Linked DNA regions of Anolis sagrei. The protein of the gene in region 2 interacts with the protein of the main gene of each other region in a biochemical or structural test. Links are inferred from orthologs where the notes say so. Each region holds a gene or a part of one and is shown on either strand. Other genes may lie near its edges.

Region 1 (7,138 bases), on a different chromosome or scaffold from region 2:
GGGTCTGCACCTTCCTCAGTTTTCTGGGGGCTCACAGGGACAACCCCAAGGGTAGAATCATAGATACTACATGGGCCATCCAGTCCAATCTCCTGCTATGCAGGAAAAGCACAATCGATTCAGAGCACCCCCAACAGATGGACAGTCACCACCCAATCCTTCTGCAAGGCCAGAAATACAGCTTGATGGTTTAACATTAGAAAATGTTGACCATTTCCACTACCTTGGCAGCCACCTCTCCACACAAGTCAACATAGACACTGAAATACAACACCACCTGAGCTCTGCAAGTACAGCATGTTTCCAAATGAAGCAGAGAGTGTTTGAGATCCGGGGCATCCGTAGAGATACCAAGGCGCTAACCATGGTGGTCCCCACCTTAGTTACCTCTAGACTGGACTACTGCAATCAGGCAGTAGCCAGGGGGAGGGGGGGGGGGCTTGAGGGGTTTCAGCCCCCCCCCCCCAAATTCTCATGGTGGTTTGCGAAAAGGCCTTACTGGTGCATTATTTAAACTGTTATGTTTATTCATATCATGATCTGATCACCATACTCAATATATCCCATATGCATGGGGGTATTGGGGTAATGATACAAAAGGTTTTCTAGGGTAGACCCTCTTTCACTCAGACTCAGCCCCCCCCCCCGAAACTCAGCCCCCCGAACCCCCCCCTATCCCCCCCCCCAAAAAAACCCGATATCCTGGCTATGGACCAGACAGCCCGGAAACTTCAATTGGTCTAACATTCAGCAGCCAGACTAACTAGGGCGAATTACAGGGAGTGGTCAACCCCTGTGTTTAAGGAGCTCTATAGGCTGCCGTTCATTTTCCAGTCCCAATTCAAGGTGCAGGTTATCACCTATAAAGCCCTAACGGTTTGGGACCTGCCTGCCTTCGTGACCGCATCTCCTTCCACAACCTGCACGTTCCCTCCGATTCTCGAGGGAGGCCCTCCTCTCACCTCTTCCTCTATCACAGCCATGGCTTGGGGGAACGAGGGAGAGAGCCTTCTCCGCTGTGGCCACTCGGCTATGGAACTCAAACTCGATACCTGGTGAGATTAGGTAAGCCCCCACTCTAGCAGCCTTTAAGAAAGATCTAAAGACTTGGCTTTTCCGATGTGCCTTTGGAGAGTGACCATATATTCCAGTCCTGTTGTTTCACCTACACTGTTTCCCTCATATTGCACTTTCCCACACCTTCCCGACCACCATCTCCCAAAGCAATTGCTCTACTCCAAACTCAAGAATGGAAAATGGAATGTTGGACAAGAAAAGAGATTTAAAGATGGGCTCAAAGCCAACCTTAAAAACTCTGGCATAGACACTGAGAACTGGGAAGCCCTGGCCCTTGGGTGCTCCAGCTGGAGGTCAGCTGTGACCAGCAGTGCTGCAGAATTTGAAAAGGTACGAATGGAGGACGAAAGAGAGAAATGTGCCAAGAGGAAGGTGCATCAAGCCAACCCCGACCGGGACCATCTTCAACCTGCAAACCAATGCCCTCACTGCAGTAGAACATACAGGTCAAGAATAGGACTCTACAGTCATTTATGTACCCACCACCATCTATGTACCCACCACTGATCTTGGAAGACAATCTTACTCGGACAACAAGGGATTGCCTAAGTAAGTAACAAATAGACATCCAGCCTCTGTGTAAAAGCCTCCAAAGAAGAATCCTCCACCACAACTCTGGGGCAGAGAGTTCCACTGCTGAACAGCTCTCACAGTTAGGAAGTACTTCCTCATGTTCAGGTGGAATCTCCTTTCCTGTGTGTGGTGGAGACTCCTTCTTTGGAAGCTTTTAAACAGAGGCTGGATGGCCATCTGTCAGGGGTGCTTTGAATGCAATATTCCTGCTTCTAGGCAGGGGGTTGGACTGGATGGTCCATGAGGTCTCTTCCATCTCTATGATTCTGTGATTCTGATACAGAACATATGCCATGATTGGCAATAGGGAAGGAATGGCAGGCAGCGCAAAAAAAGTGGAAATAAATAAATAAGTACAGAGGAAGGAGGCTCACAGACCAGATTTTCGTCCTTATGGCCCACAGGTTAAGAACCACTGCTGTAGTTTGAAGCCATTGTTCTGCATCCTAGTCTCCAGGGAAACAGAAAACAAGCCTGCCCCTCCTCCCTATGACTTCCCCTCACATATTTATACATGGTCCTCATCATGTCTCCTTTCAGACTTGTCTTCTGCAGGCTAAACATACCCAGGTCTTTAAGCTACTCCTCATAGGGCTTGTTCTCCAGAATTTTGATCTTCTGGACACATTCCAGCTTATCGAATTGGACACTGTTTTCCAGATGTCCAGTTAGCTAGACATGATGTACAATGATAGTGAGTGGTAGGTTGGCCTTTTTCACCATTCCCACATTTCCTAGAAAAGGTAAGCTCTAATTCTGTACTCTCATAATCTTTGGATAATTTTCTATTATTTTCTGTTTAGATATGCAATTATTTTGTGGGGGGAAGGTAGAACCTAACAATCTATACAATCTTCACATTTGTGACATCTTCGTGCAAGAATACATGGTGTATGATAACAGATATAAGAGATGAAATATGGTGAAATATTTATTTTTCCATATTATTATAAAAGGTTGCAGGAAGGCATTGTCTGTGCTGTTGATGCTGTTTCTTTTATTTATTTATTTAGAAAAAGAACTGGAAAAGGAATCTGATTCAGTTATTAATTCCTCCTTAACTAAATGCTTATCTTTGTCCTTGTTAATTAGTAGATGTTCGCTAACTGAAATGAATAACATTATATTGATATGTCTGGAATCTCTGTGTCAACTACAGTGAATTCCCAGAGTATCAGGGCATTCCCAGCCACTCCTATGAAAGGGGTGTGTGGAAGAAAATGAAGAGTGGGTTGTGTAAGATCTACATACCTGTCATTTCCATGTTTCTCAATATGTAGAACTCCCATCCAGCAGGTTAGATCGGTTTCTTCCTTTGATGTTGTGTAAGAGTGACTAGAAAAGGAGGAGAGATATACAGGGAAGAAAGTCTTTGGGACACAGAGAGACTGAGAAACCAAATGCATATCTTTATATTTCGCTATGTCTGTAATGTAAATAATTGTTTCCACAGCTTAAAATACTATTCAGGTTTCGGCAATTTAACATTGTACACACAAATCATTCATGTGTAGAATGTATTTCCTATAGGGTTCTTCAAACATTCTTTTCCTTTTCTCTCTCTAATGCACAGATTTCATTGGCAACCCACAAACAGATGTTTCCCGTTACTATACCTAACCCAACCTCGCCCTTTTAGCATGAGCAACTTAGGTGATATACTCTAGTGACCACACAATATTACAGTTTTTGACATTTGAATTTCATCCACCATCACAATCTACTGTCTAAAACAGCCATGGGCAAACTTTTTTGCCTTGGGGATGCATTTTGGGCCCGGCTAGGAGGACCGGGTCAGGAGGGAGGGGCCAGATACATGCTAAATGGGAAGAGCCTGGGAAAGGGCAGGGCCAGAAGGGAGCAGGGCAGTGCCTGGGTCATCTTCAGGTTGTCCTCCCAGGGCTGTTCATCCCATCCTTAGTCTGGGAGACAGATGGAACACCAAATGACCGAAATGATCCTCCTCCTCATCCTCTGTCCTCTTGGCATTGTGCTGGGAAAGAGGGTGGGACAGGCAGTGGCTGAGTGTACTCTGGAAGGCTCTCAGCCACCGTGTGCCTTCCTCAAGATGTCCTCCTGGCATAAGAACACTTGCACTGCTCTTATGTCGGGAGGAGGGTGAGACACACAGTGACTGAGAGCACTCCAGAGGACTCTTAGCTGCTATGTGCCTTCTTCCCCATCTTTTTGGCAGAATGACGCAGTGGACCACCATGTCCTTATGTGAAGAGGACAGGGAAAATGAGGAGGGCCTGATGTAAGCACCCAGGGGGCCACATATGGACCTCGGGCAGTAGTTTGCCCATGCTTGATCTAAAATGTTGCGGTCTTTCCAATGCGACAAGATTAGAACCATTCCTCCACATTCAATGGGGTTAGGGGCATCCCATGAAAGTGAAAAAATACTAATAAAGATTTTTTTTTAAACCTGGGATAGCGCCATTCTACGTTTTTCTAGCTTTTCCAGCATGACTGAAGGAAGTTGACCACAGAGTCACCATGGAGGACCTAGAGGTTTCAAAAGAGAACATTTTTATCAAATTCATGAATAATAAAATACTCAAAACTGCAAACATGGAGGGACTACTGAAATTATAGTCAAGAAGACGTACCCTTTTTTGGGTTGAGTCCTACCATCTCAGAGTATGAAAGAAAACAAATGCATTGATTTTCAGTCTCTTGTAAACCTTCCGCACTAAAGAAACAACATGGCAAGTTGTTTGCACAGGGATGCTCATAAATCGCAAAGGATTATGTAGGTTCTTGGAGTGCTCTTTCACTGTACTGTTAATGCAGTTTGACATCATTTTAACAATCATGGCTCAATGCCATGGAATCATGGAAGTTGCAGTTTTACAAGCCTTTAGCTTTCTCTGCCAAATCGTGTTGGTTCCTTACTAAACATCACCTCCCATGATAATGGCTCTGCCTGGCATTTGCTCTCGGTGTGGCAGATTTTTTTCTATTGGGCCAGGGATAGTCAGGCTCTGACCGAACCCAGCTCCTAAGGCCCCTCATGCCATTGAAGATGTCAGAGGCCATCGTAAAGTCAAATGTTAGTTCTCATGGAAAATATGTCTCAATAATGTAATGTAATGACACATTAATTATTTCAAAATGTTATAATTCACCATGTAAACTGTTCTGAGATAGATGAGCTGATATATGTGCTGTTTTGAGCCATGAGCAGTAAATTAAAATTAAACAATGCACTACCATGGTATACTAAATATATACAGGGGAACTGCCAGCTGGTCCTGCTAAGTGGACCTTCTGGGGGACAAAAAGGGGGGCCCCTTCCCAGACCTTATTTTTTGAGCAGGCAGATAAGGCAGATATCTGACTTACCTGACTTGTGGTGACCCAAAGTGACCCTATTACAGGGCATTTTGGGGCTGAGAATGGGTGACCTACCCGAAGTCACCCAGGGGATTTCTATGGCCAAACAAGAAATCAACCCTTATCTCTGGAGTCACTCAAACTGCTACACTACAATACACTGGCTCTCAAAGGGGTTATTACCTGCAAATATATATTTAATTTTCTTTATTATATCCACACTTTATCCTTTAATAACAGACCGCTTTAATTTTTAAAAAGTTCTCAGTCCGACTGCTACTAAGTTCTGTACATGTTGCTGAAAATGGTTAGGAAGTGTTTCCTGATTCAGAATGCAACTGTTTGATTCCTATTGAAGATAGTCATAGGAAGCAGATACAGTAGAACCACTTTCTTTATTTCTATAAAAAATTTTTTGTCTGAAGCTAAACTGAGATGATACTACTGTGAGCTATACATCTCTGAATGTTTGGCCCCTCTCTAAGTTTTGGAATTCCACATACAGTAGTTCCCACTTATCCAAGAGATTTAGTGGATACCTGAAAAAGTGAATAGTGCTGAACCCCATATATGCTATATTTATTCCAATATATGGATATCTATGATAACATTTAAATTAACAAATAGGCATGGTAACAATAATAACAGCAATAACCTATAATAAAATAGAATAACTAAAATAATATGCTGTAATAAATTTTAGCACTGCAAAATTGTTTATTATTGTAGGTTAATTGGTTGTTGGTTTGATCATTGCTCTTATAGCTGTTATAATGTTGCTGCTATAATGTTATTTTATTCTGTTTTATGTTGTTTTTATATTTTAGTGTGTTATATTTTAACTATGTTTGTTTCGGGCTTGCCCCCATGTAAGCCGCCCTTATTATTATTAAGTAATAGAAACCTTCAGAACATCTTTTTGTGGTGTAATATTTCAGACTGTGATTAACTGCTAGTAACTGATATTGCAGAAGTCAAAAATTGTTACCTCCCAAATAGGCTACTGTAATACACTCTATGTATGGTTGCTTTTAAAGACTGTTCAGAAGCTTCAAGTGGTCCAATGGGTGGCAGCCAGATTTCTCACTGAAGTGGTGTACAGGGAGCATACAACCCCCTTGCTACGTCAGCTCCACTGGCTGCCAGTTTGCTGCTGAGCACAATTCACAGTGTTGACTTTAACCTATAAAGCCCTAAATGTTCTGACCCAGCTTATCTGTCCAAACGTATCTCCCTCTATGAACCATCCTGAGATTAAGATTGTCTGGGGAGGCCCTGCTCTCAGTCCCACCTCCTTCACAGGTGCAATTGGTGGGGACAAGAGACAGGGCTTCTCTGTGTTGGCTCCTCGGCTATGGAACTCCCTCCTCAGCGAAATCAGGTCAGCACCCTCCCTCCCTCAGAAAGCAAGTAAAAACATGGCTCAGGGGCCAAGCCTTTGGCCAATAGTGCAGTGAGATAAGTGAAGATGGAAAATTTGCAATAATCTCGCTGGGGAGCAAATTCCACAAGCAGGGGGTCACCACAGAGAAGGCTCTTGTCCCCACCAGACATGTTTGCGAGGCCGGTGGATCTTAAACTACGAGGCAGAACATAGAGGGAGATATGTTCGGACAAGTAAGCTGGGCCGGAGCCGTATAGGGCTTTATAGGCGAAGACCAGCATTTTAAATTGTGCTCAGAAATGGACCGGCAGCCAGTGGAGTTGACATAGCAGGGGGGTGATGTGCTCCCTGTATGGTGCTCCAGTGAGCAATCTGATTGCCACCCGTTGGACTAGTTGAAATTTCCGAACAGTCTTCAAAGGCAACTTCACGTAGAGTGTGTTGCAGTAAACTATTCGGGATGTAACCAGAGTGTTGACGACCGTGGCCAGATCAGATATAAATACAGTAAATAAATAATAAAATAAATAAACCTGCAGAGGAGACTAATAATAAGACTTTATATTCTGACTATTGTAGCTCTACCAATTCTTTGGGGGAAGACCTTGTCCTAACAGCTTTCACAACGTTTAGTAATAATAAAGTAAGTAAGTAATAATAATGTGCATAGCTAAAAAGCTTAGCATTGTAAAACCTAATTTAAAGATGAACTAATCACATAAATAATTTTATAACCAGACTACATCAATGTAAAGTAGGCAATGA
Region 2 (7,264 bases):
GAATGGGAGGGAGGTAATAGTAAATGTGGTAGTAACCCCCCCCCCTTTCCCCATTTATATTCCGCGACGGCAACATCTTCCCTCCAGAGTTCAGCTTTCTTGAAAATATTTTGGGGAAAGGTATGAAATCTCCCGCGGCCATGCTGGGAAAGGAAAAGGAGTCTTGGGGGAGGGGGGAGAATGGGAAGAAGCTGGATCGGGCCCTCCCCGTGAGATTTCCAACACCAGCACCCCGTAAAAGACCTTCCTTCCGAGGGATCCCATCTGCCAAGCCCCGCGGCTCTTCACCGCCAACCGCCAAAGCCACAGGTGCCAAGCCATCCTTGGCACACAAAAAAGAAAGGGAGGAAAGACAGAGGCCCCTTCCACACAGCTATATGAAATGCATACTGAACTGAAATATATGGCAGTGTGGACTCAGGGCCTTTCCACGCAGCCCTCTATCCCAGAATATCAAAACAGGAAATCCCACATCATCTGACTGTGGACTCAGATCACGCAGCTCAAAGCAGAGATTGTGGGATGTGCTGCCTTGATATTCTGGGATACAAGACTGTGTGGAAGGGCCCAAGGTAGAAAAACCCACAATATCTACTTTGTACTGGAGTATCTGAGTCCTACTGCCATATAACCCGGTTCATAGCAGATAATTTTGGAATTTTATACAACTGCGTGGAAGGGACCTCAGATCACACAGTTCAAAGCAGATATTGGGGATTATCTGCCTTGATATTTTGGGTTATATGGCTGTGTGGAAGGGCCGGAGGCTGAGCACATGGGGCCATATAATATTAAGGCAGATAACCCACAATATTTGTTTTAAACTGGGCTCTCTGGGGCCCTTTCCACACAGCCATAGAGCCCAAAATATCAAGGCAGATAATCCCCAGATCCATTTATTGTCCAGCAGCATATTTCAAATGAGTTTATATTCTATTGTCGAAGGCTTTCATGGTGGGAATCACTGGGTTGTTGTAGGTTTTTTCGGGCTATATGGCCATGTTCGAGAGGCATTCTCTCCTGACGTTTCGCCTGCATCTATGGCAAGCATCCTCACTACCTCTGAGGATGCTTGCCATAGATGCAGGTGAAACGTCAGGAGAGAATGCCTCTAGAACTACCTCTGATGGCCATATAGCCCGAAAAAACCTACAACAACCCAGTGATTCCGGCCATGAAAGCCTTCGACAATAGAATATAAACTCATTTGAAATATGCTGCTGGACAATAAATAGATCTGGGGATTATCTGCCTTGATATTTTGGGTTCTATGGCTGTGTGGAAAGAGGCATTCTCTCCTGACGTTTCGCCTGCATCTATGGCAAGCATCCTCAGAGGTAGTGAGGATGCTTGCCATAGATGCAGGCGAAACGTCAGGAGAGAATGCCACTAGAACTACCTCTGGGGATGCTTGCCATAGATGCAGGCGAAACGTCAGGAAAGAATGCCTCTAGGACATGACCATATAGCCCAAAAAACCTACAACAACCCAATATCAAGGCAGATAACGCATAAGATTTGCTTTAAACTGGGCTCTCTGGTGCCTCTTTCCACACAGCCATAGAACCCAAAATATCAAGGCAGATAATCCCCAGATCCATTTATTGTCCGGCAGCATATTTCAAATGAGTTTATAAGCTTGAGAAAAGTATAGCCAGTATCCCTACTAATTGCATTGTGGCAATATACATTCTGGCCTCAAAGGTGATGGAGAATATCTCACTACCTCTGAGGATGCTTGCCAAAGTGCAGGCGAAACGTCAGGAGAGAATGCCTCTAGACCATGGCCATACATCCCGAAAAAACCTACAACAACCCAGTGATGGATAATGTCCATATGAGAAGAGGGGGTTCTTCAAACGTCTTAGTCCCAAGCCATTCAAGGCCCTTCCACATCGCCATATAACCCAGAATATCAAGGCAGACAATCCCCATTTATTGTCCAGCAGCATCTTTCAAATGAGTTTATATTCTTCCCAAAAGCCTGAGAAAAGTATAGCCAGTATCCCCTACTAATTGCATTATGGCAATATACATTCTGCCCTCAAAGGTGATGGAGAATGTTCATATGAGAAGAGGGGGCTCTTCAAACGTCCTAGTCCCAAGCCACTCAGGGACCTTCCACATAACCTAGAATATCAAGGCAGACAATCCCCAATATCCGCTTTTGATATTGGGTGGATCTGATTCTACACTGCCTTACAATCCAGCTCCAGGTGGATCTTATAAGGACACAGCTGTACAGCATCTCAATCATCGGGTTGGAAAGAGAGTCTTGCTGAGTTGGGGAAACATAATCAAGGGAGGGGAGGGGGAGACCAAGCCGGGCCACGCGCGAGCCGCAGGTCAAAGCCCTCGAAGGAGGCAACTTTGGGGGGAAAGGGACGCCAAGGAGAGAAGAAAACCGCTATACGGATGGGACGCACCTGACTGAGCGGCGCTGAGGGTCCCGGCGACGGCGAGGAAGCCGAGGAGGAGAAGGGACAGCTTCATCTTCGGAGAGAATAAGAAGAAGAAGAAGAAGGAGACGGCGAAGGAGCAGTAGCAGCAAGACCCCTCTCTTTCTCTCCCTCTGGATTGTATGTGTGCGCGTGCCTCCTCTCGCGCTTCCCCAGTTACATGTTCCAAGCGGGCGGCAGCGCGAGGACGCAGCAGCTCCCCTCAGGCGCCCAGGTGCCCTCTTTCCCACGCCCGGAAAGAACTCCCCAAAGTTGCCGCCGCAGTTCGAGGCGCGCGCCTCCGCCTCGCGCACTTCTCACCCAAGAGGCCCCCCGAGCTGAGGAGAGTTGTCGCGTCGTCGCTTGCCCCTGCTGCCTCCTCCCGCGGCTGACGGAGCGGGGAAAGCCTCCCAGCGCCAATGCCATGGGCTCCCAACCACTCCGGCGGCGGCGGCGGCGCAGATCAACCAGCCGCGTTCCCCTCTTTCTCTCTCTCACAAACACACACACACTCTTTCTCTCTCGCGCGCGCTCTCTCCCCTCCCCAAAATCCAACACAGCTGAGGAGGGGGAGGGACCCAACAGCCGTAGCCCCGCCCCTCTGGGCTTCTTCAAAGAGTAAGCCCCGCCCACTCCGCTCCTCCCCCTCCTCTCTGTTTGCAACCCGGGAAACACCTGTCACGGGCGCGCGCTCGAGCTGTGGCGCGCGGGTTCCCAGAAAGGGAAGAAGAAGAAGAGGAGGAGGGAGAGGCTCGTTTGCAAGGCTGGCTTTTTCTTAGGTGTTGGAATGATTTTGAGGAGAAATCTGTGGACTGGAATCAGTTCGGGATGCATTGCCTTTGGAAGGGGGAGAAATGCAGCAGCAGCCGAAAGGAAGGAATCCACCCAAGCGCCTGATGCTGGCTCAGGTCCCTTCAGACCCAAGCTTCCCTCCGCCTTCCTTCCCAGGGATTCGACCATATTCCATCGCCAACTTTCTCCTTCGGAGAGATAAACGCACTCCTCTCTCCAGGACCTACCATTCCCTTTCGAGAGCATCATCCCTTCCTCCTTCTGCTGATTGCTATTTGCTGCCTTCGATCCCAACTTCTGGAGAACCACAGCGCTTTCCTTTTCGAGATGGAAAGGAAATAGGACTATAGTGTCTAGATCTAGGGAAGTCATGCTCTCCCTCTATTCCGCCTTGGTTAGACCACACCTGGAATATTGTGTCCTATTCTAGGCATCACAATTCAAGAGAGATATCGACAAACTGGAATGTGTCCAGAGGAGGGCGACTAAAATGATCAAGGGTCTGAGAACAATCCCTATGAGGGGCGGCTTAAAGAGCTGGGCATGTTTAGCTTTCAAAAGACTGGGACTTTGTGAGCTATCCAAGGGCATCCAGTAGACTTCCGTGTCTGAACAGGGACTTGAATCCTAGTCTTATGGTGTCTTCCTTCAGACTCTTGCATCATGGAGTCCTTGTGGACAACAAGTTAAACATGAGCCAACAATGTGATTTGGCAGCAAAAAAAGCCAATGGGATTTTGGCCTGCATCAATAGGAGCATAGTGTCTAGGTCCAGGGAAGTCATGCTACCCCTCTATTCTGCTTTGGTTAGACCACACCTGGAATATTGTGTCCAATTCTGGGCACCACAATTGAAGAGAGATATTGACAAGCTGGAGGGTGACTAAAATGATCAAGGGTCTGAGAACAAGCCCTATGAGGAGCGGCTTAAAGAGCTGGGCATGTTTAGCTTTCGGAAGACAGGGACTTTGTGAGCTATCCAAGGGCATCCAGTAGACTTCCGTGTCTGAACAGGGACTTGAATCCTAGTCTTATGGTGTCTTCCTTCAGACTTTTGCATCATGGAGTCCTCGTGGACAACAAGTTAAACATGAGCCAACAATGTGATGTGGCGGCAAAAAAAGCCAATGGGATTTTGGCCTGCATCAATAGGAGCATAGTGTCTAGATCTAGGGAAGTAATGCTACCCCTCTATTCTGCTTTGGTTAGACTACATCTGGAATATTGTGTCCAAATCTGGCCACCACAATTGAAGAGAGATATTGACAAGCTGGAGGGTGACTAAAATGATCAAGGGTCTGAGAACAAGCCCTATGAGGAGCGGCTTAAAGAGCTGGGCATGTTTAGCCTGAAGAAGAGAAGGCTGAGAGGAGATATAGCCATGTATAAATATGTGAGGGGAAGTCATAGGGAGGAGGGAGCAAGCTTGTTTTCTGCTGCCCTGGAAACTAGGACATGGAACAATGGCTTCAAACTACAAGAAAGGAGATTCCATCTGAACATGAGGAAGAACTTCCTGACTGTGAGAGCCGTTCAGCAGTGGAACTCTCTGCCCCAGAGTGTGGTGGAGGCTCCTTCTTTGGAAGCTTTTAAACTTTGTGAGCTGGATGGCCATCTGTCAGGGATGATTTGAATGCAATATTCCTGCTTCTTGGCAGGGGGTTGGACTGGATGGCCCATGAGGTCTCTTCCAACTCTTTGATTCTATGATAAGTAGGAATGGAATTCTGTGAGGGAACTTCCTTTTATTGCCCTGGGTTGACCACATGGTCTCCACCATTGTCTCTTCTGCCTTTTTTTCAGTAAGGGCTCATTTTGCCTCTCTCTTTAGGCAAAATCTAGATGCATGGATTTTTTTTTACTTTTTACCCTTTTAACTTCTTTAGAACACGAGACTTAGTAAGCTATCTAGAATGTATTTCTTTTACTTCAATAAATATCTTTTAACTCTGCAATCCTGAGCCCTTCTAAGGAATAGAAGCTTATCCCAGCTCATCACATCTAAGTTTCTGCTGGTTATGAAGTTTACTTCTGGTACTCTGCTATATTTATACTTACAAAAGTACCTGTTCCAACTTACAGACAAAGTGAACTTAAGAACAAACCTACAGAATGTACTTTGTTCGCAACTTGGGGACCTCCTATACTTCCTCTCTCACCCCTTCCCACAAAGAAATGGATAGAGTTCTCCCAGAAATAGGAAAGCCACAGCTTTGGGAATCATGCTTCCAGGCTATTTGTTTTTATATACATTTTATCCCATCTTTAAAGTCAGAATACGCAGGGCCCTTCCACACAGTAATATAAACCAGAATATCAAGGCAGAAAGTCTCACAATATCTGCTTTGAACTGGATTATCATGCAGATCCACCAGCCAAAGCAGATAAAAATACAAAGAGCTGCTATTTCAGCAAAGAAGAGAAAACAGCATGTATTACAGAGTAGTCATTTTCATCTACTTTCTTTATGGGTGGTTGTAGGTTTTTTCGGGCTATATGGCCATGTTCTAGAAGCATTCTCTCCTGACGTTTCGCCTGCATCTATGGCAAGCATCCTCAGAGGTAGTGAGGTCTGTTGGAAATAGGAAAATGGGTTTATATATCTGTGGAATGACCAGGGTGGGACAAAGAGCTCTCTGCTGAAGCTAGGTGTGAATGTTTCAGCTGACCACCTTGATTAGCATTTGATGGCCTGGCAGTGCCTGGGGAAATCTTTTGTTGAGAGGTGATTAGATGTGCCTGATTGTTTCCTCTCTGTTGTGCTGTTGTAATTTTTGAGTTTTTAAAATACTGGTAGCCAGATTTTGTTCATTTTCATGGTTTCCTCCTTTCTGTTGAAATTGTCCACATGCTTGTGGATTTCAATGGCTTCTCTGTGTAGTCTGACATGGTGGTTGTGAGAGTGGTCCAGCATTTCTGTGTTCTCAAATAAAATGCTGTGTCCAGGTTGGTCTGCTATGGCTGACTTCTCTGGTTGAGGTAGTCTGCAGTGCCTTTCATGTTCCTTGATTTGTGTTTGGGCAATGTTGCATTTGGTGGTCCCTATGTAGACTTGTCCACAGCTTTCTTTATGTTTTTGTGCATGGATATATCCATGTAGACCAAGATTCCAGAAGAGATGAGGCTCAACAGAAAGATGAGCTACACAGCTTTGGAAATGAAAACACTTCTAAACCCATCAGTAAGCATTTAGACCAAACCACAAGGCACCCTACTTTTGAGAAGACTCTCTACTCTGAGGAGTCCTGTTGTTACCATTGTAGGCCGCACTATCATCTTTTGGCATTAGGTGCCTCTTGTCTGTTCCAAATACACAGAGGAGGGCTTGGGAGATTCAATTCTCTTGAGGATCTCTAGGTGGCAACATTAACTACAGTTGGCTCTCAACATTTGCAGATTGGATTAATATGTTCTCTTTAGGAATTTCTAGGTCCTCAAGCCTGCTATATTTTGTTCTGCAGGGTGTACAAATAGTTCCCTCTCTACAAAGAAAGAGGATTTCTACTGTCTAATATGTGGGGGTTGGGAAAGAAGAGAAGGCTGAAAGAGAGGGGAAAAATCTCTGTTGAGCAAGGAAGAGTGGGATGTAGAGGATAAAACATATGGGAAGAGGTAACACATGTGGCAGGACTAAGCCTCTTGGTAGTACTTCCCAGCAGTCACAAAACTTAGTCTGGAGCAAATTTTTGTGTACATAGTCATACATTCTTCAAATAAACCTAATTTGGGAAGCTTCTGTGTTTTTTATCAGCTTGTTTGATTTTTTAAACGTTTTATGATGAATTTGGTTGTGGGAAAATTGAATTTGAAAAAAATTGTATGGAAGAGAAGAACATGATGAAAGGTGGATTGGAAAGCCATCATGGAAACTGTTGTGAAGGAATCATAGAATCAAAGAGTTGGAAGAGACCTCATGGGCCATCCAGTCCAACCCCCTGCCAAGAAGCAGGAATATTGCATTCAAATCACCCCTGACAGATGGCCATTCAGCCTCTGTCTAAAAGCTTCCAAATAAGGACCCTCCACCATACTCC
Region 3 (7,940 bases), on a different chromosome or scaffold from region 2:
AACAAACTTATTAGTATTTCAATGTGAAGTGTGGGCCTGCTTTTGGCTGATGAGATAGGATTGTTGTTGTTGTTGTTGTTGTTGTGTGCTTTCAAGTCATTTCAGACTTAGGTTGACCCTGAGTGAGGGCTGGGTAAATGACCTTGGAGGGTCGTATCTGGCCCCCGGGCCTTAGTTTAAGGACCCCTGGTCTAAAGCATCTTTCTGTTCTGAGAGTCTAACAGAGTCTCTGTACAGTTTGAGAGTCTAATGGTATCTCTGAACCATTCTGTTTCTTCTGACTTCTGTAAAGCATATTGTTTCTAAATTGGAGTCTGAGATCTGAACAGTCCCAGATCCAGTCACATGGTCTGCAGCCCCTCCCACAACATAGAGTTGAGGAAAACTGCATACCAATTCACACATATACAATACAATAAGCATTCTGAATTATATGCTTAATATATTACTAGTGGAAGCTTGAATAAGGATGCTATTTCCAACAAAGACAGCAGCACTTTTAAGACCTCAATAATTGATTTTTTTTCTTAGTATAAGATTTTGGAGATTTAAAAAACACTTCTCAAGATACAGTACCAAGTGGCCACTAATGGATTGCCACTAAGAATTCAAAAGACTGCTTTTGCATCAATTTTTTTCCCAATAAAGGATGTAAAGATACAATATGTCATTTCGCAGACATACTACTATGGTAGTCCAAATGGGATTTGTCGGGGCATGTGGCTTATCTGCCCTTGTTGTGTCCTCTTCCTCCCAACTGGCAGAAGAGAAGATGACATCTTGATTCTGACTTCACCTATAGGCAACAGGTTAGTATACTCCCATCCCATTTAAGGGTGCCAGACTTTTTGGAGACAGAGGACGTGCTTTACAGCACCTGCAGGTCTGTCCCCTAAGAGAGATGTGACTCAGGAAGAAGGGTGACTCAGGAAGAAGAGTAGTGCTGGAAGGCTCTTATCTCTGACCTCCATCACCTATTGCCTTGCCTTTCTATGCCTAAGTACAGTACCAACCTTGAATGACATTCTTGTAATACTACTCTTGCAATAGCTATTGCAAGTGTGACTCACTGTGTGAAGAGGTTTCTTCATCCACAGATTCAAACATCCAAATCTTGAAAATATTACAAAGAAACCCAAAAGGCCAATCTATATATGTGGGGCCGTGGTGGCGCAATGGGTTAAACTGTTGAGCTGTTGAACTTGCTGACCGGAAGGTTGGCAGTTTGAATCTGCAGGGCGGGGTGAGCTCCCACTGTTAGCCCCAGCTCCTGCCAACCTAGCAGTTCGAAAACTTGCAAATGTGAGTAGATCAATAGGTACTGCCTTGGTGGGAAGATAAACAGTGTTCCACGCAGTCATGCCAGCCACATGACCTAGGAGGTATCTATGAACAATGCAGGCTCTTCGGCTTAGAAATGGAGATGAGCACCACCTCCAGAGCTGGAGAGGAAGCCTTTATTTTATTTTATTTTATTTACCATATTTATATACCACCTCTCTCAACCCGAAAGTGACTCGAGGTGGTTTACAGTCGGTAATCAATGCCTCTCACAACATAAAATGTAGTTAAAAACATTAAGATATAATATAGATCATATAAAAAGCAGTAGAACAATGAAAACCATAAAACACAAGTCCTCAGCGTCTCATCACTAAAATCATTTTTCCGTCGCATTGTCCAATCGTTCCGTGGGTCTGTTACACTGCATCTGCAAATCCCTGCAGGTTTTAACTCTCTTTCAAAATGTTCGTAGGGAGGGGGCTGATCTGATATCCCTAGGGAGGGTGTTCTATAGCTGAGGGGCCACTGCTGAGAAGGCCCTGTCTCTCGTCCCCGCCTTTACCTTTATCTGTGAATGTTTGCCTTGTGTCTGTATATGCTGGAATCTGCCCCGGGTCCCCTCAGGGAGATAGGGCAAAATACAAATATAGTGTTATTTATTTATTTATTTGTCATTTTATATAAGGGGTGCTATTTTATGCTGCCATTGCATATAATGAGGCTCGAGCATCCATGGATTTCTGCATCCGTGGGGGTCCTGTTGGAACCAAACCTAAGCAGATACCATGAACCCACTGTGTGCATTTAAAAGTTAACTGGTGCAAAGCAACATGCCAAGCAGCTTGTAGGACATTATTGCACAAAGCCGCTAATGCAATGAACTATCCTGGGAACTTACTGGGATGATCAGATTCATTACTGCATCTACCTGTGACTGTGCAAAAATACCGCTTTGGCACTTCCTCATCCCATGACTGGACTTTATGTTGGGAAGGAAATTCCCAACATGTGTCTTTGGTAAGGGCTTTTTCTTTTCTTTTCTTTTTTGCTTTTTTGTAAATTTCCCCCCACCCCCATTTTAATTTTTTTTTAATTATTATTATTATTATTATTATTATTATTAAAAAATAGTTGATTATTACTGAGAGGGCATGTAAGAAAGGCCCCTTAAGGTCACAGAAGCATTTGGACCTCATTGCATAAGGTAAGTTTAGGGATTGGTGATGCGATCAGGGGCTTTTCATGGATTTTGCCCATCAATAGTTGGGCATGGCTCTGTTTGGGGAGATGACAGACCAGTAACAGGTATCGCTTCTAAGTTGGTTTGCCACCTCCATACAATAAAATCCTGCATCTATTGCAGCTCAGATTCTGAGTGACAGATCTAAAGATCTACATTTTGAGGCTTTTCCAAACAATTGGATTCAGGAATTCTGTGACTCTTCTTTGTTGAAAGAGCTTCATTGGTGACTGGCCCATTTCCAGGCAGATATCAAAGTGCTGGCTTTGACCTTTAAAGCCCTACACAACTTGGCTCCAGAATATTTGAAAAACCATTGCTCCTTATACAAGCCAGCTTGTGTGTTAAGATCTGTGACGGACAGCTTTCTTTCAATGTTCCCAACTTCACAGACATATTTAGTGAAGAATTGAGAGAGAACTGCTTCCAGGCTGCGGAACAGTCTTCCATGAGAGGTCTGGTGTTGCAATCTACCCAGGGTGGCAAGTCAGATGGGCCAGGATTTACAAGAGAAATGTTGATGCAACCCTTGCATATCTATATAAAATAGCTATAAAAATCAAAGATTTGTTGATAATATACCAGCGTTTGCAAGCCTTGCGAAACTACATCTGAATTTCTGCAAGTCCGCTGTAAACCTTGTTGCTAACAGAATTGTGTAAATATCTAGCTGGCATTCTTATGCTGGTCTATGCCCATAATAACAATTTGATCAATTGATAGATGGCATTCAGAAAGGTTTTACTGTTGCCAATTTTTTCATGACTCCAACACTGACTTAACATTTGGGGTCAGGATCCACAGTTCAAGAAGCAGTGGACTAGATCAAGGTTTTCTAAACTGTCCATATATACATACATATATATGTGGGTGTGTGTGTGACCTTGGGTATATAGGTTATGAAATGGGGGTACTGCGTTTTTGAAGGCTTTTATGGTTGTAATCGGTTGCTGTGAGTTTTTCGAGCTGTATGGCCATGTTCCAGTAGCATTCTCTCCTGATATTTCACCTGCATCTGTGGCTGGCATCTTCAGAGGTTCTGTTGATAGTGAGGCAAGTGGAGCATATATATGTCTTTGTAATGTTCAGGGTCTGTTTGAAGCAAGTGTGAGTGTTGCAATTAGCAAGCGTGATTAGCCCGAGTAGCCCTGCAGCTGCAAAGTCAATCAGTGAAGGCATGTGCATAGAGGTAGCTTGGTTGTCGTGCTTGGAGGAATTATTTGGGTTTTGTTAACTGGCACTTGGTTGTTTGCTGTCTGGAATTCCCGTTTCTGAATGGTGTTCTTTATTTACTCTCTTGATTTTATTGGTGTGTGTGTGTGTGGGGGGGGGGGGGAGTTGAAAGAGGAAAACCATTTTCTCCATTGTTGCTGGTTATTCCCTCTCCCCCTTCTCATATCATAAAGGAGAGTTGTTTCCATGATGGGGACATGGGTGGGGGAAATAAAAATAAAAGAAGGAGAAATGGTTGCTACTTGTTCCTTATACAGATTCCTCAGGGGAGAGAGAAACAAGGTGGCTTAGTATGCCCATCCCACCAAGAACTTGCCACAATTTATTATGATCCACACAGTCAAAGGCTTTAGAATAGTCAATGAAGCAGAAATAGATGTTTTTCTGAAACTCCCTGCCTTTCTCCATTATCCAACGGATATTGGCAATTTGGTCTCTCGTTCCTCTGCCTTTTCTGAACCCAGCTTGTACTTCTGGCAACTCTCTCTCCATGTATTGCTGGAGTGCCAGGTTATCAAATGCTAATCAAGGTGGTCAGTTGAGACATTCACACCTAGCTCCAGAAGACAAGAGTCCTTTGTCCCACTCTGGTCATTCCACAGATATATAAACCCACTTTCCTAGTTCCAACAGGCCTCACTATGTCTGAGGATGCTTGCCATAGATGCAGGTGAAATGTCAGGAGAGAATGCCTCTAGAATATGGCCACATAGCCCGAAAAAACCTACAACAACCTATTGCTGGAGTCTTCCTTGCAGGATCTTGAGCATTACCTTAACTGGCATGAGAAATAAGGGCAACTATAGGGAAGTTTGAGCAGTCTTAAGCATTTCTCTTTTTTTTTTTTTTGTATGGGGATATAAGTGGATTTTCCCCCAGTCTGATGGCCATTCTGATGGGAGGCGCAACTGGGAGAGCCCTTCCAGGGGGTGCCTAGCTCCGGGCCATGAAGTAGAGGGAAGCCCAGTGTGAGAGGAGTGTGCTGGGGGTTCCCCCAACAGGGCTTCCAGGGGGCGATCCTTGGCGAGGCTGTCCCTGGAGGAGGAGGAGGGGATTCCCTTTATGGCCCTGCCATTGGGAGGGAAGGAGGGAAGGCTGTCTTCCGCAGCCCCCGCATGGGGAAGCCGTGTGCGCGCGCGGGCGGGGAGAGGGAGCGGGTCCCGGGCTTACGCCGCTTCCGGTTTTGCAGCTGGAGCCTCGTCGGCAGCGGCAGCAGCGGCAGCACCGGCGGTGGCGGGAGCGTCGCCCCCCAAATGGCCTGGCCAGATGCGGCAGGTCTGGTGCTGCCGACTGGCGGAGGAGGGCGAGGAGGCGGCGGCGGCGGCGGAGGGCGAGGGGGGCTCGGCGCTTCAGTGCAGCAGCAGCAGCAGCAGCGGCAGTACCCGCAGCATCCGCATCCGCAGCATCAGCCTCCCCGGGCTCCGCCGCAGCAACAGCTAGAGGAGGAAGGGAGGGGGCGAGGGAGGAGGAGGAGGAGGAGGTGGAGGCGGCGCCAGGCCTGCATCTCCTCCTGCTGCTGCTGCTGCCGGGAGCGCCGGGGCCGGTGGGCGCCTTGGCGGCGGGCGGAGCGGGGCCCGGGGATCTCGGCATGAGGCGCCTGCCCTCCATGCTGCTCCTCCTCCTCGGCGCTTCCCTCGCCTGCTACTCGCCCAGCCCGCGCGCCTTGCAGGACCAGGCGTACTCGGCCGCCGTGGTGCTGGAGGGCAAGGTCCAGGCGCTGCCCCCGCCGCCCCCGCCGCCCCCACCCGTCCTCGGAGGGCCCACCGCCCTGCCCGGCAGCCCCGGCCCCGCCACCCTCGCCCCCGCCAACGGGAGCCGCGACTGGGAGGCCACCTCCTCCGCTTCCTCCGCTCCCTCCACTTCCTCCTCCTCGTCGGCGTCGCCGGGCATCCTGGTGAAGGTGCTGGACCTGTGGCCCCTCAACAGCGGCGGCCTGCAGCGCGAGCAGCTCATCCGCGTGGGCTCCACGCCGGCGCCCTGCTTCCGCGTCAAGCGCAACCACCGCTACATCTTCTTCCTGGAGCCCACCGAGCAGCCGCTCGTCTTCACCACCTCCTTCGCGCCGCTCGACACCAGCGGCAAGAACCTCAAGAAGGACGTCGGGCGCATCCTCTGCGCCGACTGCGGTGAGTCCCGCTCCAGACCCAAAGGCAGGGCCACCGCGCTGGGAAGCGGGCATTGGGCCCTTCAGGTGTTCCGGACTTCAACTCCCACCATTCCTATCAGCCTCAAGCCCCTTCCTTTCCCCCCACAGCCGCGCCAGTTGCTTTGGACTTCAACTTCCACCATTCCTTCCCAAGTCCGTTCATATATCCTGTATACAGCAAGCCTGGGCCAACTTGGGCCCATCCTCCAAGTGTTTTGGACTTCAGCTCCCACCATTCCTCACAGCCTTAGGCCCCTTCCTTTTCTACCTCAGCCGCTCCAGGTGCTTGAGACTTCAACTCCCACCATTCCTATCAGCCTCAAGCCCCTTCCCTTTTTCCCTTTCGGCCGCTCCAGGTGTTTTGGACTTCAACTCCCACCATTCCTCACAGCCCAGGGCCCTTCCTTTCCCCCCTCAGCCGCTCCAGGTGTTTTGGACTTCAGCTCCCACCATTCCTATCAGCTTCAGGCCCCTTCCTCTCCCCCTCAGCCACTCCAAATGTTTTGGACTTCAATTCCCACTATTCCTAACAGCCTCAAACCCCTTCCTTTCCCCCCTCAGCCACTCCAAATGTTTTGGACTTCAACACCCACCATTCCTAACAGACTCAGCCCTTTTCTTTCCACCCCTCAGCCGCTCCAGGTGTTTTGGACCAACTCCCACCATTCCTATCAGCCTCAGACCCCTTCCTTTCCCCCCTCAGCTGCTCCAGGTGTTTTTGGATTTCAACTCCCACCATTCCTATCAGCCTCAGACCCCTTTCTCCCCCCCCCCGTCAGCTGCTCCAGGTGTTTTGGACCAACTCCCACCATTCCTAACAGTCAGACCCCTTCCTTTTTCCCCTCAGCCACTCCAGGTGTTCGGGACTTCAACTCCCACCATTCCTCACAACCCCGGCCTCTTCCTCCCCCCCTCAGCTGCTCCAGGTGTTTTGGACTTCAACTCTCACCACTCCTCACAGTCTCAAACCCCTTCCTTTCCCCCTCAGCCGCTCCAGGTGTTTTGGACTTCAACTCCCACCATTCCTAACAGCCTCAGGCCCTTAAGTGGCTGAGGGGAAAAAGGAAGGGGCCTGAAGCTGCTAGGAATGGTGGGAATTGAAGTCCAAAACATCTGAAGGGAGTGTCCAAGTTTGCCCTGCTGTAAAGACCTCCCCCATCCTTGTTTTGAACTTAGAATCCTAGAGTTGGAAGAGACCTCATGGGCCATCCAGGCCAGCCCCATTCTGCCAAGAAGCAGGAAAATCGCATTCAAAGCACTCCCAAAGCCTCCAAAGAAGGAGCCTCCAACACACTCCAGGGCAGAGAGAGAGTTCCACTGCTGAACAGCTCTCAGCTGAATTACAACTCCCACAATTTGTAAGTCTCAGGCTGAGGTGGAAAAGGAAAGGGCCTGAGGTTTTTGGAATTTTGGGGCTTGAAGTCCAAAATACCCGAAGGGCTCAAGTTTGCCCATGCCTCCTCTAGTGTGATGAATTAGATAGATTTGGAAGAGACCTCATGGGCCATCCAGTCCAACCCCTGCCAAGAAGCAGGAAAATCACATTCAAAGTACCCATGACAGATGGCCATCCAGCCTCTGCTTAAAAGTTTCCAAAGAAAGATCCTCCAACACACTCTGGGACAGAAAGAGAGCTCCACTGTTGAACAGCTCTCAGCTGAACTTCAACTCTCACAATTTCTGACAGACTCAGGTTGAGGGGGAAAAGGAAAGGTCCTGAGGCTGTTAGGAATGGTGGGAGTTGAAGTCCAAAACACCCGAAGGGCCCAAGTTTGCCTATGCCTGCTCTTGTGTGATAAAGTAGATAGAAGGAGCCTCCATCACACTCCGAGGCAGAGAGAGAGTTCCACTGTTGAACAGCTCTCAGCTGAACTTCAGCTCCCACAATTTCTAATAGCCTCAGGCTGAGGTAGAAAAGGAAAGGGCCTGAGGCATTTAGAAATTGTGGGGCTTGAAGTCCAAAACACATGGAGGGTCCAAGTTTGCCCATGCCTGCTGTAAAGACCTCTCCCATCCTTGTTTTGGACTTAGAATCAT

Evidence for each region.
Region 1: the proteins of ERBB4 (region 2) and SYK form a complex in vitro, tested with the Homo sapiens proteins (2 studies listed by BioGRID and IntAct, with this or other methods). The link is inferred for Anolis sagrei from reciprocal best matches to the Homo sapiens genes ERBB4 and SYK.
Region 3: the proteins of ERBB4 (region 2) and NRG2 form a complex in vitro, tested with the Homo sapiens proteins (2 studies listed by BioGRID). The link is inferred for Anolis sagrei from reciprocal best matches to the Homo sapiens genes ERBB4 and NRG2.

The regions. Positions count from the first base shown.
Region 1 is NC_090022.1:235,006,299-235,013,436, reverse strand, and holds the start of SYK (tyrosine-protein kinase SYK), read right to left. Parts: upstream 3,003-7,138; 5' UTR 2,902-3,002; intron 1-2,901. UniProt on the Homo sapiens protein: Non-receptor tyrosine kinase which mediates signal transduction downstream of a variety of transmembrane receptors including classical immunoreceptors like the B-cell receptor (BCR).
Region 2 is NC_090021.1:172,652,823-172,660,086, forward strand, and holds the start of ERBB4 (receptor tyrosine-protein kinase erbB-4), read right to left. Parts: upstream 3,019-7,264; 5' UTR 2,494-3,018; coding exon 2,427-2,493; intron 1-2,426. UniProt on the Homo sapiens protein: Tyrosine-protein kinase that plays an essential role as cell surface receptor for neuregulins and EGF family members and regulates development of the heart, the central nervous system and the mammary gland, gene transcription, cell proliferation, differentiation, migration and apoptosis.
Region 3 is NC_090024.1:137,080,417-137,088,356, forward strand, and holds the start of NRG2 (pro-neuregulin-2, membrane-bound isoform), read left to right. Parts: upstream 1-4,938; 5' UTR 4,939-5,345; coding exon 5,346-5,883; intron 5,884-7,940. UniProt on the Homo sapiens protein: Direct ligand for ERBB3 and ERBB4 tyrosine kinase receptors. Concomitantly recruits ERBB1 and ERBB2 coreceptors, resulting in ligand-stimulated tyrosine phosphorylation and activation of the ERBB receptors.